Daphnia pulex: one gene and its partners. The protein of the gene in region 1 interacts with the protein of each later gene in a pairwise test. Links are inferred from orthologs where the notes say so. Each region holds a gene or a part of one and is shown in the gene's direction. Other genes may lie near its edges.

Evidence for each region. The genes of interacting proteins can lie anywhere in the genome.
Region 2: the proteins of neurogenic locus Notch protein-like (region 1) and neurogenic protein mastermind-like interact in a two-hybrid assay, tested with the Drosophila melanogaster proteins (5 studies listed by BioGRID). The link is inferred for Daphnia pulex from reciprocal best matches to the Drosophila melanogaster genes N and mam.
Region 3: the proteins of neurogenic locus Notch protein-like (region 1) and segment polarity protein dishevelled homolog DVL-3-like interact in a two-hybrid assay, tested with the Drosophila melanogaster proteins (3 studies listed by BioGRID). The link is inferred for Daphnia pulex from reciprocal best matches to the Drosophila melanogaster genes N and dsh.

The regions. Positions count from the first base shown.
Region 1 is NC_060028.1:5,081,975-5,086,804, reverse strand, and holds the start of neurogenic locus Notch protein-like, read left to right. Parts: upstream 1-1,688; 5' UTR 1,689-1,964; coding exon 1,965-2,037; intron 2,038-2,663; coding exon 2,664-2,742; intron 2,743-3,122; coding exon 3,123-3,593; intron 3,594-4,035; coding exon 4,036-4,169; intron 4,170-4,662; coding exon 4,663-4,830. UniProt on the Drosophila melanogaster protein: Essential signaling protein which has a major role in many developmental processes. Functions as a receptor for membrane-bound ligands Delta and Serrate to regulate cell-fate determination.
Region 2 is NC_060024.1:12,904,568-12,909,575, forward strand, and holds the start of neurogenic protein mastermind-like, read left to right. Parts: upstream 1-2,001; 5' UTR 2,002-2,945; intron 2,946-4,079; 5' UTR 4,080-4,221; coding exon 4,222-4,557; intron 4,558-5,008. Other genes in the region: glutamine-dependent NAD(+) synthetase-like, read right to left, coding at 1-93, 164-413, 497-642, 714-798, 859-971, 1,054-1,257.
Region 3 is NC_060018.1:12,878,267-12,883,308, reverse strand, and holds the start of segment polarity protein dishevelled homolog DVL-3-like, read left to right. Parts: upstream 1-2,035; 5' UTR 2,036-2,253; coding exon 2,254-2,414; intron 2,415-2,546; coding exon 2,547-2,616; intron 2,617-2,685; coding exon 2,686-2,774; intron 2,775-2,842; coding exon 2,843-2,922; intron 2,923-3,038; coding exon 3,039-3,107; intron 3,108-3,214; coding exon 3,215-3,361; intron 3,362-3,425; coding exon 3,426-3,663; intron 3,664-3,732; coding exon 3,733-3,861; intron 3,862-3,933; coding exon 3,934-4,061; coding exon of another isoform or gene 4,062-4,121; coding exon 4,122-4,211; intron 4,212-4,271; coding exon 4,272-4,577; intron 4,578-4,645; coding exon 4,646-4,903; intron 4,904-4,992; coding exon 4,993-5,042.

The DNA.
Region 1 (4,830 bases):
AATGACCACTGATAATCACCGTGATTTAGAAAAAAAGAAAAAAAAAAAATTAATATCTAAAACTTGTTGATAACAAGTTTTCAAAACCTATACGACGACGACGTCGACGCATTGGCTCTGTCCGGTGTTTGCATCTACTCACGAACGACAAATGATTTCATTGTCCCGATTATCATTTTTGACAGATCTAGACACGGGGTCAACGGTTGCGCTCCACACGACTGGAGAAATAGGTTGGATCGATTTATCACGAAGCGAATTTTCCTTTTCTTTTTTAGAGGCCTAGAAACGAGTTTTTTTTTTTTATTCCGTTCCCACGGATAACCATTTCACCCCTCTCCATTTGATCGTTTGATTCAATTCCCCCCTACTTTTTGTGATCCGTTTGAGTGGTTTACATGTGCAACAGTTGCTGCCAATCTGTCGCAACTACCCCACCACCACTTGTGGTGAAGGGGGTTTGGTCACGTGACCATCGATAGAGCATTGAGTTGATTGTTTGGGTTTTACGCTCGAGGAATACGAACAAGTCAATGCAGGAACAAGTTGGTTTAGTTCTAAGTTTGGGTATCTCGTTAACCCTTTTATCCCAACGGGAAAGACCTGATGATTTTCGTGTCTAACTGCACGGTAGATGATGAGAACCAATCAGCGCGGATCGAATGTAAAATGGGGAAAAAAAAAGGAAATTTCGGTTCGAGGCGTATATGACACAAATAAAAATATGAATGATGCAGAGCCATAGGCAGAAGAAGAAATGAATATAAATATGATGAAAGGCGCATCACGCAATGGGTAGAACGCAGAAGATGATTCCGGCGGCGCCAGTTGAATGATCAATCACGGTCTACATGATGCGGCCTTCGGATTCCTGGAGCTTGATGATGATTGCCGGTCATCTAGTTTCTACCTTCTTTTTCCGTTTTTCGTATGGTGCATCAGACTGTTTCTTTCTCAATTGCATTATTTTTTTGTGGGCTCGACAACGAGCTGCTTTCGTGATGTAGCCCACTTTTACGGCTGATTATACCATGCGCGGAATGGCAGAAAAACAATGGACGGACATGTCAACTGGATGAGGAGCTTAAAGGCGTCACGATCCCAGTCAAAAACAAATCGACAGGTCCTTTTTCCAATCGGCTTCACTAAAAGGGAAAGTTGCTGGAAAGATTTGGACGATGTCACTTTTTCCCCTGTATGATGGATGGGGGGATATTTCATCCCTACGGAAATCAGACAATATAAAAATATATTTCTAGGCCTAGTATTCCTCTTGGGTCTTTTATGATCGGCCCCAAAATTCTTTGAGAAGCTCCCTTCTTTCGGCTTTAATTACTTTCTTCGGGGAATTCTATTCTACATGTTTGTGAAATAGAAGAAACCAAGTCATGAACTTGTTAGACTCGCAATCAAAGTTTCATCTAGAATATACCACAAATACAAATAACTCTGTGGTTGAGAAAAATCGTTATTATAGGCGACACGTTTGGCCGAGTGACAGAATACTGGAAGAAGAATAGGCGCAATTTCAATTTTGTTCTTGTGTATTATAATTTTTCTTCTCTGTGTGCAGCAAGAAAACCCGCGGAGATTGCAAGGAGAAAGGAAGAGAACAAGTCGGACTCTGATTGGTTGTCGGTGGTTTTGCCTCGAGGCCAGTTATTCTGATAGAGCGACTCCCTCCGGCCAGTCGAGAAGCGTCCGTTGAACGGGAAGGATGTACTGTGTCGCTGCTGCTTGAATTTCTTCCATTTTTCTCTGTGTGCATCTGAGTTTAACAAAAAATCTCTTTACTGGAAAAGTGTGTAAAAACAAGAGAAAAAGTGCATCACCATGACCCAGTGGCTGAAAGTGTTGGTGTTTTGAGTGATTTAATTTTTCATCTATTCAACACAAAGAGGGAGAGAAGAAAGAAAGAAACGTTAAGTGTGTGTGAGTCCCTGTTTTTGTTGCTGCCATTAAAAATGGGGACCGACCGCAGTGGATTACTGATGCTGTTGCTGGGCATTCTCGTCTTCTTCTCAGCTTCAGTTCAAGGTAACCTTGACGTTTTTGTCTCGAATATTCGTGTGGCTTAAAATTACCTCATGACGATTGTTTCATTAAAGGTAGGGGGGAGTCTGAAAAAAGTAGTTGGGATGACGGTTAGAGTTTTGTTGCATCTGCTCTTCTTTTCAAAAAAAGACGCCGGGCCCCGTAGGGCTTTACATTTCCCACGCATTTAAATCCCCCCTCCAACCGACGCTCTCATTGTCCTTCTCTCTCCCCCCCCCCCCCCCCCTCTCCGACCTGTTGATCGACGTTGCCGAGATCTCAGCAAATCATTTTATTTATTTTTTAAAATTAAAAAAAGAATATGGTGATGACCAACATATCCGGCGAATAAAGACATCGTGAGATGATTAAGTTTCAAGACATTTTCATCAGCCAAGACATTTTGGTGGTGTCACATAGCGTTAGGCCACATGTTATTTGATAGTCATGAGTTAATGATGTTAGACAATAGCGTCGTATGTCCATTGAATCGTATCCTCTATCAGGGCGGAAGTGCATGATAGTGGACCCGTTTCCGTTGCTCTTTTTGTGTGTGTGTATTATCATTCACTCAAATCAATAATAATAATTAACTGTAATTTTTTTTCTTTTTTTTTTATTTATTCCAGGATTCGTTTCGTGTTCGCCCAATCCCTGCAAGAATGGAGCGTCGTGCGTCTCCAACCCGCGCGGCGAGTCTTACTGCAGGTAACGTCCATTGTTGAAAGTCTACAGGGGAGATCTATCCCCCCCCCCCTCTCTCTCTCTCTCCAATGGTAGAGTCTCTCTCGCTCAGAAGCGTGGGAAACAAGCTGGTCTGCATAGTTTGGGCTATTGAAACCACCTACCGTCAGCCACCCTACCACCACCACCTTGTCCACTTTTTTTTTTTGTTCCATCCGGTTTGGGCCCGAGCTGCTCACGTACTGCCTCCAGCTCTTTTTCTTTGTCTGGTAGTGGAGGTGGTAGTAGAAGGGGGGGAACGTTGATTTTTTATTTTTGGGGATTATGCTTTGATACACATGGTCCAGTTGCTCCAATCACTTGTGAAACAAATGATTAACTCTTTTTATTTTTATTTTTTACAGCTGTCCGCCGCAATACGTGGGCGAGTACTGCCAATTTGCCAACCCCTGCCATACGGGACCCGGACCTCGGTGCCAAAATGGCGGCACTTGCGCCGTCAAAATGTCGACTAATGCCGTGCCCAGCTTCTCCTGTTCGTGTCCGCTGGGTTACTCGGCCTCGCTGTGCGAGATTCCCGTGCCCAACGCCTGCGACACTGGGCCGTGCCAACACGGCGGAACGTGTCTACTCCGCACGCTGGATAACTACACCTGCGCCTGCTCGTCGGGATTCCGCGGCGCCAAATGCGAAGCTGTCGACCACTGCGCCCTGCATCCGTGCAAAAACGGTGCCCAGTGCACGTCTTTGTCGGACTCTCACCGCTGCACTTGCGCTCCTGGATTCGCTGGCCCGACGTGCGCTGTGGACATTGACGAGTGTAAACGCAACCCGTGCATCCACGGTCGCTGTGTCAACACCCACGGATCATACAAGTGAGTCCAGTCGTATTGACTCTTGTCGTCAACCATCTGTTGATCTTTCTTGGCATCCTTATCTCGACGTCATGATTGTCAAATGATTACCAAGCTGACTCAACAAAGTTGTTGACGCCGACCAAAGAAAGTCCGAGGGGAAATTTTTTCGTCACATCTTTATTATTATCTTCTATTCAACATTTTTTTAAAAATGTAGTTTCCTTCCAAAAATATTAAAAGAGGACAAAAAAGAAATTAAATTTTTCAAGGCTTTCATTGTCGAGTTAGCGTGGGAACGGCCGAGGCGAAAACAAGTCCATTAAATCGCCGTGGTCAGTAGACACCAGATTGAATTTATTTGTACTTTCTCGTCACGTGTCTGTGTGTGTCTCGTCTCATGTTTGTATCATGCCGGGCGCTAATCATCCGTTTGTATCCGTTTACTTTTTTTATTTTCCAGATGTAACTGCCACACGGGTTATACTGGCCAGAATTGCGAAAATCAGTATGTGCCATGCAGTCCGTCTCCATGCCAGAATGGTGGTGCGTGCAAAGCCATCGATTCTCTCAACTACGAATGCCGTTGTCCGCCTGGTAAGTCTCATAAAATTTGATTGAACCTTTTATTCCTCTTCTTTCCGGTAAATTTATGACAACTGAAACGAATTGTTGGTCCCAACAACCAAAAAGAAACAACAACAACATTGAATCTGGTTAGAGTAGCCATAAAGTCATTGTCGGCTGTTAAAATGAAGTTTAAATCTAAAGTCATCAGATTTCGGATGTGCTTGGTTTCCATCGGTGGGAACATTCCCACACACACAAGAAAGCCAAAACTTGTTATACCCTCGGGGCAAACCTCGTCCATCCAGAGAGACTTGAATATAAATATCCGAGCCCCTCTCTCTCTCTCTCTCAAATCTCTCCAGGCTCTTTTATGTTCCGACCCCTCCACCTTTCTCTAAAAAAAAGAACACCTGGGCGATGACCAACAAAGAATTCTTTCCTGTCTACTTACAGCGTTGCCATTTTCCCTTTAACACGAATCTAATATTTCCCCCCTTTCTTCTGATTATCAAAATTCTAGGCTTTGCTGGTACCAATTGCCAAGAAAATGTCAACGACTGCCCCGGTCATTTATGCCAGAATGGAGCCACTTGCGTCGATGGCGTCAATTCCTACACATGCCAGTGTCCACCATCCTTTACGGGGCCTTATTGTAATCAAGACGTCGATGAATGTGCTTTGAGGCCTA
Region 2 (5,008 bases), on another chromosome or scaffold:
CGATGGACTCTGGGCAGCGGCGATGTTTCGAGAACGGACTAAATTGCGGTAAGTTCGTATGTCATCCAAGTCGACAGTGGCTACAGCAACTTCCTAAAGAATAAACCATCGCAAGAAATGATTTTAAAAATATCCAAGTGATACATATTGTGACGAAAATTACCACTTCTTCTAAGGAGAATTGACGCGTTCTAGCGATTGTTTGTCCGTTAAGTGCGATACACGATCCTCCATTAAACATGATACGCTGTCCATCGCAGCCTCTTAAATTTGAGAATAAGTAGCAACCGCCGGACTTTAATGTTGCTTGTAGGACAAGATCGACGGCAACGTTGGCCTTGCGCAACTCAAAGTAGGAACCCGACCCGTTGACGATGAATTCAACGCCGTCCAAACCGAGAGAAATGTGAGTACTACCAAATAGTGTGCATATTGGGTTTTACTGGTCATTAAAACAACAAACAATAATAATATTCATTTGCAAGTACAACTGTACCTGGAGGGATTCCACAATTCTTCACAAATTTCAAAACCTATGGTGGTATCCAAGGTTTCCAGGACTGCATCTCCAAAAACTACAGATTTTTGCCCTGTAAGCTCTCTTATAAACTCTGGCAATATGTAATCCTCTGTTTGGTAAAGCTGTTTACAAAATAATTCACATTTAATTAAGGCCACAGATCCCAAAAACTGGTGTAAAATAAATTTTATACTTTTGTCCAGGCAGTGAACCATCTTGATTCTCTGTAATTGCCATCATCACAGAGTTTCAATTTAGGACGAATCAGCAAGATTTTTCTGCGAAAAGGGGGGTACTGTTTATAAGAAGAGCATAATAACAATAAAACAATTGCTTACCCATTGAAAAAAGCAACTCTGCAATTGTAAGTGACACTCTTGTGCATAACCGGCATGCCAACATCAACTAAAATATTTTTGCATACTGGACTGGCTAATAGTTCAGCCAAAACCTATTTGAGGATCAAAGATCATTTTCTAGATTTCCCAGAAACAAACCGCAGTAAACATAAATCAGAAAAGTGACACGCTAACCTCCCAGCTGTGTAGAAGAGTGTCAGCTTCATAAAAATGATCTTCACAGCTGTATCCTGTGACTTCTAATTCGGGTCCTGTGCGATAACTAGCACCTTGTACTTTTGCTTCTTGGATGCTGGCGATGATGCGTGACAGATTTCCGTCGAAATCCAAAGCCCACTGGTTCAAGCAGCAAACGGCGACTACAACTTTGCGCCCCATGTTCTCCTCGTTGACTGATTTAATACTATTTCCTTTTTACCTTCTTGCCAAGCTGCGGAAATCGACCCAACAGGTTTTTTATTACTTTGCCAATACTAACGTTACCAGAGCAACTGTCAAATCGACAAATCAGCGGGACGGAAGGTTTGTTTTTCTTTTCGCCGAGGTAAACATACAGCATTGCCAGTTTTTGGTAGAAAGTAACTTTTTTTTCCCCTTCCTCCTTTTTTGTGTGTGTCGACGTCTCGACGACCGTTAGTCATTGTGACCTGCAGTGCGGCCTTGGTAGATTTATTATTAAGCATAGGCTTTTTACGAGCAGATTTTCATCAGTTAATGGCATAATAATTTCATCTCCTATTGCCTTACGTATTATTATTACGTGTTTGCATCAAGATGTTGTCTCGTAGCTAATTATTATGCGCGTTTAGCATTGAGAAAATAGCATTTAAGTTATAGAAATGTGACGTTAGTATATCGTTGGTCGCATTGGCCGCTAGATGACAGTTGAGAGGTCAAAAGAAAATAGAAAACAAAAAAAAAATGTGTCCCAATAAAATGAAAATCCAACACACGAAAAATCTAGAAAGAGAGAAGAAGACAAAAAAAAATTATTTTCAAGTAAGACGCGCGGCCGAAACTGTAAACGAAAGCGGAGGGAAGGGAGGAAATCAGGATGAAAGGAGAGAGGCGAAAGAGAGAGGAAAGAAAACGGGTGGCGTCTGCAGCCGTGGCCGCTGTGGCGCTGTCTGTCGGGGAAGAGCCCGAGTCTCTCCCTCTCTCTTTTTTCTTTCTTTTCTTTTTTCGCTTGGCTTTTCCGTTGGCTTTTCAAGTGAAATGTGGTCAAATCCGTCTCTCTCCTGTTAATACGGAAAGTCGTCATTATTGAGCTTTCTCTCTTAAAAATAAATGTATATTCATCAACTTGGACGTTTCTATCGAATTTCAGTCGAATATTTTCCAACGTTTGAATTACGTGGTGTAGCGCCACGTAAAATAAAATAGATATCCCCCCCACCCCAACTGAAAAAGCAGACACACATTTTGACGTGTGCTTGACTACGAGTATCAAGGTGCCGACGGCTAACAGCTCCGAACGGCTGGGGCTGGGGGGACTCTCCAAGCCAATGTGGCAATTGTGTTCAGTCGAAGTTGCTGCTGAACGAGAACGAGACGTATCTCTGAAACTTCTCCGAACAAAATCATTTTTTTTCCCCCTCTTCTTCGTCAATCACACACACAAACACACCAAATCCCCGACGAAATCGATCTCTCTCTCTCACTGGTGTCGTGTGTGTTTCTCCCTCAATTTCGACGAATAATTAGTCTTGGAAAAAATCGCCATTACTCCCCACCACAAAAAAACGTTCAAATGACTCAATCGATTGGCTTTCTTTTTTTCGAAAATTGAATTCTCGGTGTGTCTGTGCTGCCGAGTCTCTTTTTTATTTTTTGGCGCAAGCATAAACTTTGGTGGGGACATATATCCAACGAGTGTGTTACGTGTTGGACGTGTGGTGTGTGTGTGGTGTGTGTTGCAGTGTCTGTGTGTCGACTGGAATCTGGCCAAAAGCAAGCCGAGTCTCGTGTCTTGGATTATTGCACAATTTAAGACTTACCACTTACTCACTACTACCACATACCTCTAACCTCATCTCTGCGGATCTATTCAAACTCGGCACATGCAGGTATGCAATCATCATTTCTTGTGGGATGGGGGGGGGGAGAGAAAATTTCGCCAACAAAAATGGCGTGTGTGGAATGACACATGTGCTTTCTTAAAATATTGTTGTAACCTGTTGAGTGAGTATAAGTTGAGTAACCATCCGGTCATAGAGACAATTGATTGCATGTAATAATCATCATGCCGGTTGTTTTCTTGGGGGATTTTTGTATTTTTTGACCGAATTGGTTTTTGGGGGGACCTTCCGCCCGCGTCACTATCAAACCGCACACACACAACACCAGCGTGAGATTGCAATCAATATTTCACTCTCTTATGTCTGTGTGTGTGTGTGTGTATAGGAGGATGCATCGAAAGGGGGGGTCAAAACGTGTTGGTCATATATATTCCCAGCGTCTGTGTGTTTTGATTTCCAGTCAACGTCCATTTTTAGGTTTTGTTCATTGAGGAGCCCCATACACACACACACTGAGAAATTTGAATGGTTGAGGGTTTTTTATTTCACAGTGAGGGGAACAAGCCCCAGCATATATTTCGAACCTGGGGTTGTTTCCGAAGGGTGTGTGTGGTTGTGTGTGGGGAGAGAGAAAATATTTTGTCTCTCCCCTTCCTCTTTTCTTTTATGTTCATCTTTCAGTTTTTCCCAGTTAGTGACGCGTCAAGTGGTTGTTAACCCGCTCGCTAGGTGGTGTTGTTTGACAAGCGCGCGAGAAACTCCCTTTCGAAATGTGTGTGTGTGTGGAGGAAGGGGGGACTCGACTGGGAGGGGTAGGGAAAGCAGTAGACACAAGGCCATCATTTGGAAACCCATCGTCTCATTACACAAGTGGTGGCCCTTTTTTTTCAAAAAAAAATATAAAAGTATTGTGTTCAAAGAGTTTTTTCTTTCTTCGGGTTGCAATTCAATTTCGATATCAGAGAGAGAGAGAGAGTTTCCAGGGAAAAACAAAAGTTCTGGTACATACTACTGGGAAATCTATAAATTCCAAGTGTTTGAAAGAGTCCAAGGTTATTGTGTGTTTTATAGTTTTTATATCACGACCTTGTGGATGTTTGTCTGTCTGTTCTTAACGTCAATTTTTAGTATTCCTTGTTTGTTTGACGAATGATTTAATAACGTGATATTTTGCAATTGCAGGTTGATTCAGCATGAAAACAGGCCATGTTGTGGAAAGATTAAAGCATTCGAGTAGCAGCAGCAGCAGCAGCAGACTGGAGCCTCAACGGATGTGGAGCTAAGAGCGGGGCAGCCAATAAGATTATTGGTTGCGTGCGGAGTAATGTCGGAGGTGCTGCCTCCGAAACGTCAGGCGGCCGTGGATCGACTGCGGAGGCGAGTCGAAGTCTACACCAAGGATCATCAGGATCGATTTATGCACTATGATCGAATCGGACCGGCCTTGTGCGAACAGCAAATGCAAGAGTCGTTCGCATTGAAGCAAAAGTATCTCGACCCCAAAGCCAAAAAGACGAGTAGCAACAGCAAGAGCAATAAAAGCAGCAGCAGCAGTAGCGGCGGAATTAATAACAACTCAACTACTAATACCGGTGGTGGTCCGTCCAGCACCGAACGTACAAAACCGGCTACGGAGACTCACGCCGGCAACACGCAGTCGGTAAGAAACAAACCATCGAAATCTTTTTTACTCTCTTTTTTTTATTACTATCCCTATCATCGATCCCTTGACTCCTTGTGCGACGCTCCTGTAAGGAGTTGCTCTTTGTCTCTCTGTGTGTGTGTGGTGCCCACCAGCTGAATCATTGATTCCCGCTACCCCTTCCGCACCCCTACTACTACACTACTCCCGCTCCTCTTGGGTAGGAGAAATAGAAAATGTCTTACGTACAAAAATGTGATGGACTTTTGCGTGAGAAAATAGCGCCAAGATTATTATAACTGCACTGGAAAGAAAAAGAAAAAACCCGTTAAACAGATGCGATCAAAAGAGGTCGTTCACCACCATCACCGGTAGCGAAACCAGCGCAAACGAACCCATTTCTTTTCTTTCTGTGGGGGGGAGGAGGATGTGTCCCGCAATTTAACCGGTGCGCGCTGTGTGTATATTT
Region 3 (5,042 bases), on another chromosome or scaffold:
TAGGTGGGTGTTGTGTCACTGATTGCTTGAGTTCACTCTATTAAGTAATTGTTCTATGTACATATCATTGGATTCTTTGTTAGCAGAGGTAACTGCAACGGTCACACTGAACTTGAAAAGCTTAGACTTGCTGCATTCGAACTAAGTGCTGGGGGTTATTAACATAATAAAAACACACAGAACAAAATCTTTTAGAAGCCCTTTTTTTGTTTGAGCAAACAAAGATTGAAAAGTCCAATATGGGTGAAACCATCCATCCATGCCTTGATGTGATCTGGGCCCATTGAATATAAACATTTCCTTGATTTGACTGCTTTCGTGAGGCAATCGAGAAGAAAAAAAAAAGCAAACTTTTGCGTGAACTCATTAGACAAATGCTCACTACAATCAAACCATCTCATGATTGAAACTTTGCACGTTTGCAAAAAAATGCTGCCAATGCTGGTGAGTGGTGGCAGACGAACTTCAGTGAGAACTGGCTACTAGTGATGTTTCGTTAACGATAACGGATAACGTGAAAAGTCCGTTAACGGACCTTTTTTGGGGTTCGTTAACTTAACGGATAACGCTAACGTTTGGCATTTTTCAGACGTTATTTTCAGACGTTATTTTTGTTTTTAACAGCGCTGCCAAATATGAAATTTTTGGATTTTTCAAAATGAAATTTGTATTTTTTGCGCGCTTCCAACATTTTACTGTAGTAGGTTGACTATGAAAACGAATTTAAATAGCCAATGACAGTGAGCAGTAGTCTTCTTAGCTTCTCTGAGGTTTTTTTTTGCTTTCAAAACGTGGCAAACGAAACTGTATAAGTAGAGTAGGGAAACAACTAGAATCAGAGTGTAAATCTTTAATGTCAGATTCAGACTCTGATGCTCCTGTTGACGGTGAATAAGCGTGGCATCTGCGATGTTAGAAGATCTCGAAAGAAGATTTAATTTCATGACAGATTAAAGAGATCCTGATTTCGACTGCTCCTACCTTCTAGCCACTTCCCTCGACTGCATTGAAACTGAACTTTTAGACAACTTCCACTTTGCAAGTCATGAATTTGATCCTTCTAAGGATCCACCAGTTCAAGATGTGATCTCTTACTGGAAGGATTTGTCTGGTCGTTTCCCCTAATTATCCAAAATGGCCTATAATTTACTGGTTATACCAGTTTCTTCGGCATCATCTGAACGCGAATTTTCCATTGCCGGATGGCACTGTCTAGGACACAAAAATAGGACGGCGGAAGAAGTTTTGGCCGCAAAAGTCTTCCTCACTTGCAATAAGGATTTATTGAGGCCTTTACTTTTTTAGTTGGAACTTGTTTTTTTTTCTTTTGTCTGTGCGTTTATTTAATCCGCAGTTTCTGTTTTTTTTAGTTGATCATTGCTTCATTGTGACATTGTTCAACGCCAGCAGCAATTTAAATATAAGTAATCAAGACCGTGACTGATTTCAGTGATTTGATAGTGCAATTTTTTTATTAAATAACGGTAAAAATAACGTCGAATTTTCGTTAACGGAGACATTTTTAACGGCGTTAATTAACGGCGTTAACGAACGTGAAAAAATGAGACATCGTTAACTTAACGGATAACGCTAACGTTTAGAAAAAGCACTAACGAAACATCACTACTGGCTACTAGCTTGCTGCCCTTTTGCCATGATACCACAACCTAAAAGCAATCGAAAATTTAAGGAATCTTTACAGCTTACATGATAACCAAAGCTAGAATACATATTAATTATTATTTTATGAATAAATATTAATATATATTATATTATATTACTATGGATACGATAGTAAGATCACCAATTCACCATGATTAATGATTATTGTATTATTAATATATCACGGCCGTTAGCGAGTTATTCAACGTTATATGCTATTTTATTTTTTTAAATGAAACAAAAATCACGAACAACAGCCCTTTTTGAAGATCCCCCCTTTTTGCCAGATTTGAATTTGAAGCAAGTAGTGTGCAGTGTGAGCAGTAGATGGCTACGCTGTGGATAGCGGGTCGGAAAAACCATCTGTCGGCTGACGTTAATATTTTTTGGGAAAACCGGGACGCCCAATTGGAGGCTCACAAGACTTTAAGCCTCGCCATATTGAACAGCCTGAGGGAAAGGGGAAAAGTCTGTATTCACTATTCAGTCCTCTTCATGTTGCGCAGATAGTAACTTTTGACGCCCTACCCGTTTTTGTAATCTTGTCAAAACGATTGGTTTGTTGTCGTTGACTCTTGACGCAGTTTCCTAATGGCGGAAACAAAGATTATTTACCACATTGACGAAGAAGAAACTCCCTATCTTGTTAAACTTACAATATCTCCCGATCAAGTTACCCTAGCCGATTTCAAGAATGTTCTCAATCGTCCAAATTACAAATTTTTCTTCAAATCAATGGACGACGATTTCGGGTAAAACCAGTTTTTCTCGTTTTTTTTTTGTTGTTGTCAAGTGGCAATAACGTGTTACATGATAATTGTCCATGTAGTTATTTTTTTATGCAAGTGTAAGCATTGTTTTCTCTTTATTGTTTATGTTTCTAGTGTTGTCAAGGAAGAAATTGTTGATGACGATGCTCACCTTCCATGTTTCAATGGAAGAGTCATATCATGGGTAAACGTAACAAGTTAAATTATATTGATGAATATTTTAAGATGTCTTAATGTTTCTTTCACTTTGTAGCTAGTATCAGCTGAAAGTAGCATTTCAGACTCTGTATCTCAATGTGCTGAGAGTACTGCCACTACTGATGGGAGACCACCGTCTTTCCAGTGAGTTTTTTCTTTACAAATTTTCACTGCTTGTAAAGTTTGGTAATTAACTCGTCATTTGATTTTAGCCCTGGCCATAACAGAAGTATGGCTGAGGAATACACAACAGCTACTGAGACAGAATCGGTCATTAGTTCAAGACACAGTGGTAAACTTTATTTCCTTATGCTGTATTTTTATGTTTATGTGTTTACCTTTGTCCTGTTGCATCTCATTTTTCGTTATCTTCTGCAATTCTTTTGTTCTTTATGTTTTGCCATGAAGAGAGGCACATATTGCCCCGCTCTGGCCGTGTGCATCGTGAAACTTATGAAAAATATGATCGCTTTGATGGTGAGTTTGTTAGCATGGCTTTTTTTGTAGATTGTTGCTTCACTAAATTTTCATGTAGAATGTCTTATCTTACTATATATTCGATTAACATCCGATTGTCTCTTTAGTTCAAGCTCCTCGAAATGGCCACAACGCTATGAGACACAGAGCTGGACACGAATATGAATCCTCTTCTATGATCAGCTCGGATTTAGAGTCGACCAGCTTCGTTGACTCTGAAGAAGATGCATCTTCACGTATCACAACGACCACGGGTATTAAGCAAAGTTATAATAACTCTGGATTTATTGAAAATTTTGCATATTTTGAAATTTGCAGATCACACTAGTGTGTCTCGCCAAGGTCGCAATCGGAGACGTAATCGTCGCCGTCCCCGCCTCCCTCCTCTTTCATCTCGAGCTTCATCATTCTCCAGTATCACGGATTCCACTATGTCACTCAACATAATCACTGTCACCCTCAACATGGACACAGTCAACTTTTTAGGAATTTCCATCGTCGGCCAGAGTCATCAAGGTGGTGATGGTGGAATTTACGTAGGATCCATAATGAAAGGGTATAAACACAGATGAACCTGACATATTTCTTGTGGTAATTTCAAATGAAAATCATTGCTATTATTTAGTGGGGCTGTCGCTTTGGATGGTCGAATCGAGCCTGGTGACATGATCCTTCAAGTCAATGATATTAACTTTGAAAATATGTCAAATGACGATGCCGTTCGCGTTTTACGAGAAGTTGTCCAGAAACCTGGGTAAGCATAACTGTTTTTTTTGTTTTCCAACTTAACATTTAGTACATTGTGTTTTTTATTTGCATGTGTCAGCCCAATCAAACTTGTAGTCGCCAAGTGTTGGGATCCTAATCCAAAAGGATATTTCACTATACCCCGTACGGAACCTGTTCGCCCTATTGATCCCGGTGCGTGGGTTGCTCACACGGAAGCAGCAAGAGGTGATTGTCGTATTTTAAATCATAAATTGGCATCCAACAACAAATCTAACGTCATATTAGGTGGAACGCAGTACCCGAATCGTCCGCCATCTGTGGCGACGATGTCGTCAACCACCACAACAATGATGTCGAGTATGCCAGAAACCGAACGTAAGTTGTCACGTAGAAAATGTACCGAAAGAACTTTTGACTAAGTACTACTTGTCACAGGTCCAGTTGAAGAAGCCCAACCGCTTTCAGTGCGCTCAGACATGCTCGCAATTGTGCGAGCGATGGCGCGCCCAGATTCCGGACTTGAAGTTAGAGATCGCCTTTGGTTAAAAATTGTAATTCCAAGTGCGTTTATTGGATCAGAAGTGGTCGACTGGCTTCACAATCGCGTGCAAGGACTAGAAGAGCGGCGTGATGCCCGCAAGTTGGCTTCCCAGCTTCTGCGAAACGGTTACATCAGACATACAGTAAACAAGTACACATTCTCTGAACAATGTTACTACGTGTTCGGAGACCTGTGTTTGGGTGAGTTGACATTTGAGACTTATCGGGTTATAGAATATTTTGTTTGATGAAAGGGTTTTATCTTGTAGGTGTTTCGGCTCTTCGCCTGACTGATGACACGACATCGGAAGCCGATAGAGACACGCTCGCACCGTTGCCGTTGCCGACTCCTTGGGGTAGTGGGCCTGGTGCTACAGGAGCCGGTGGGGCTACCCCTCACATACCTTATTATCCAACCGGTTATGCGCCCATGCCTTACAGCTACAGCAGTGATCCCCTCGGATCGGCGCCTGTACAAAGTACTACATTTACGTATGGAAGAGAAGGCAGCGTTCACAGTGGTTCAGGTAACCCTCCAAATTCGATTAATTGAATCCTTACAAACTGTATTGTGAAAGTCGAACTTCAAATATGTTGACGTTGTAATAACAAACAGGGAGCAGTGGATCCGACGTACGCAGTGGACTGATGGGTGGAGACAGAAGT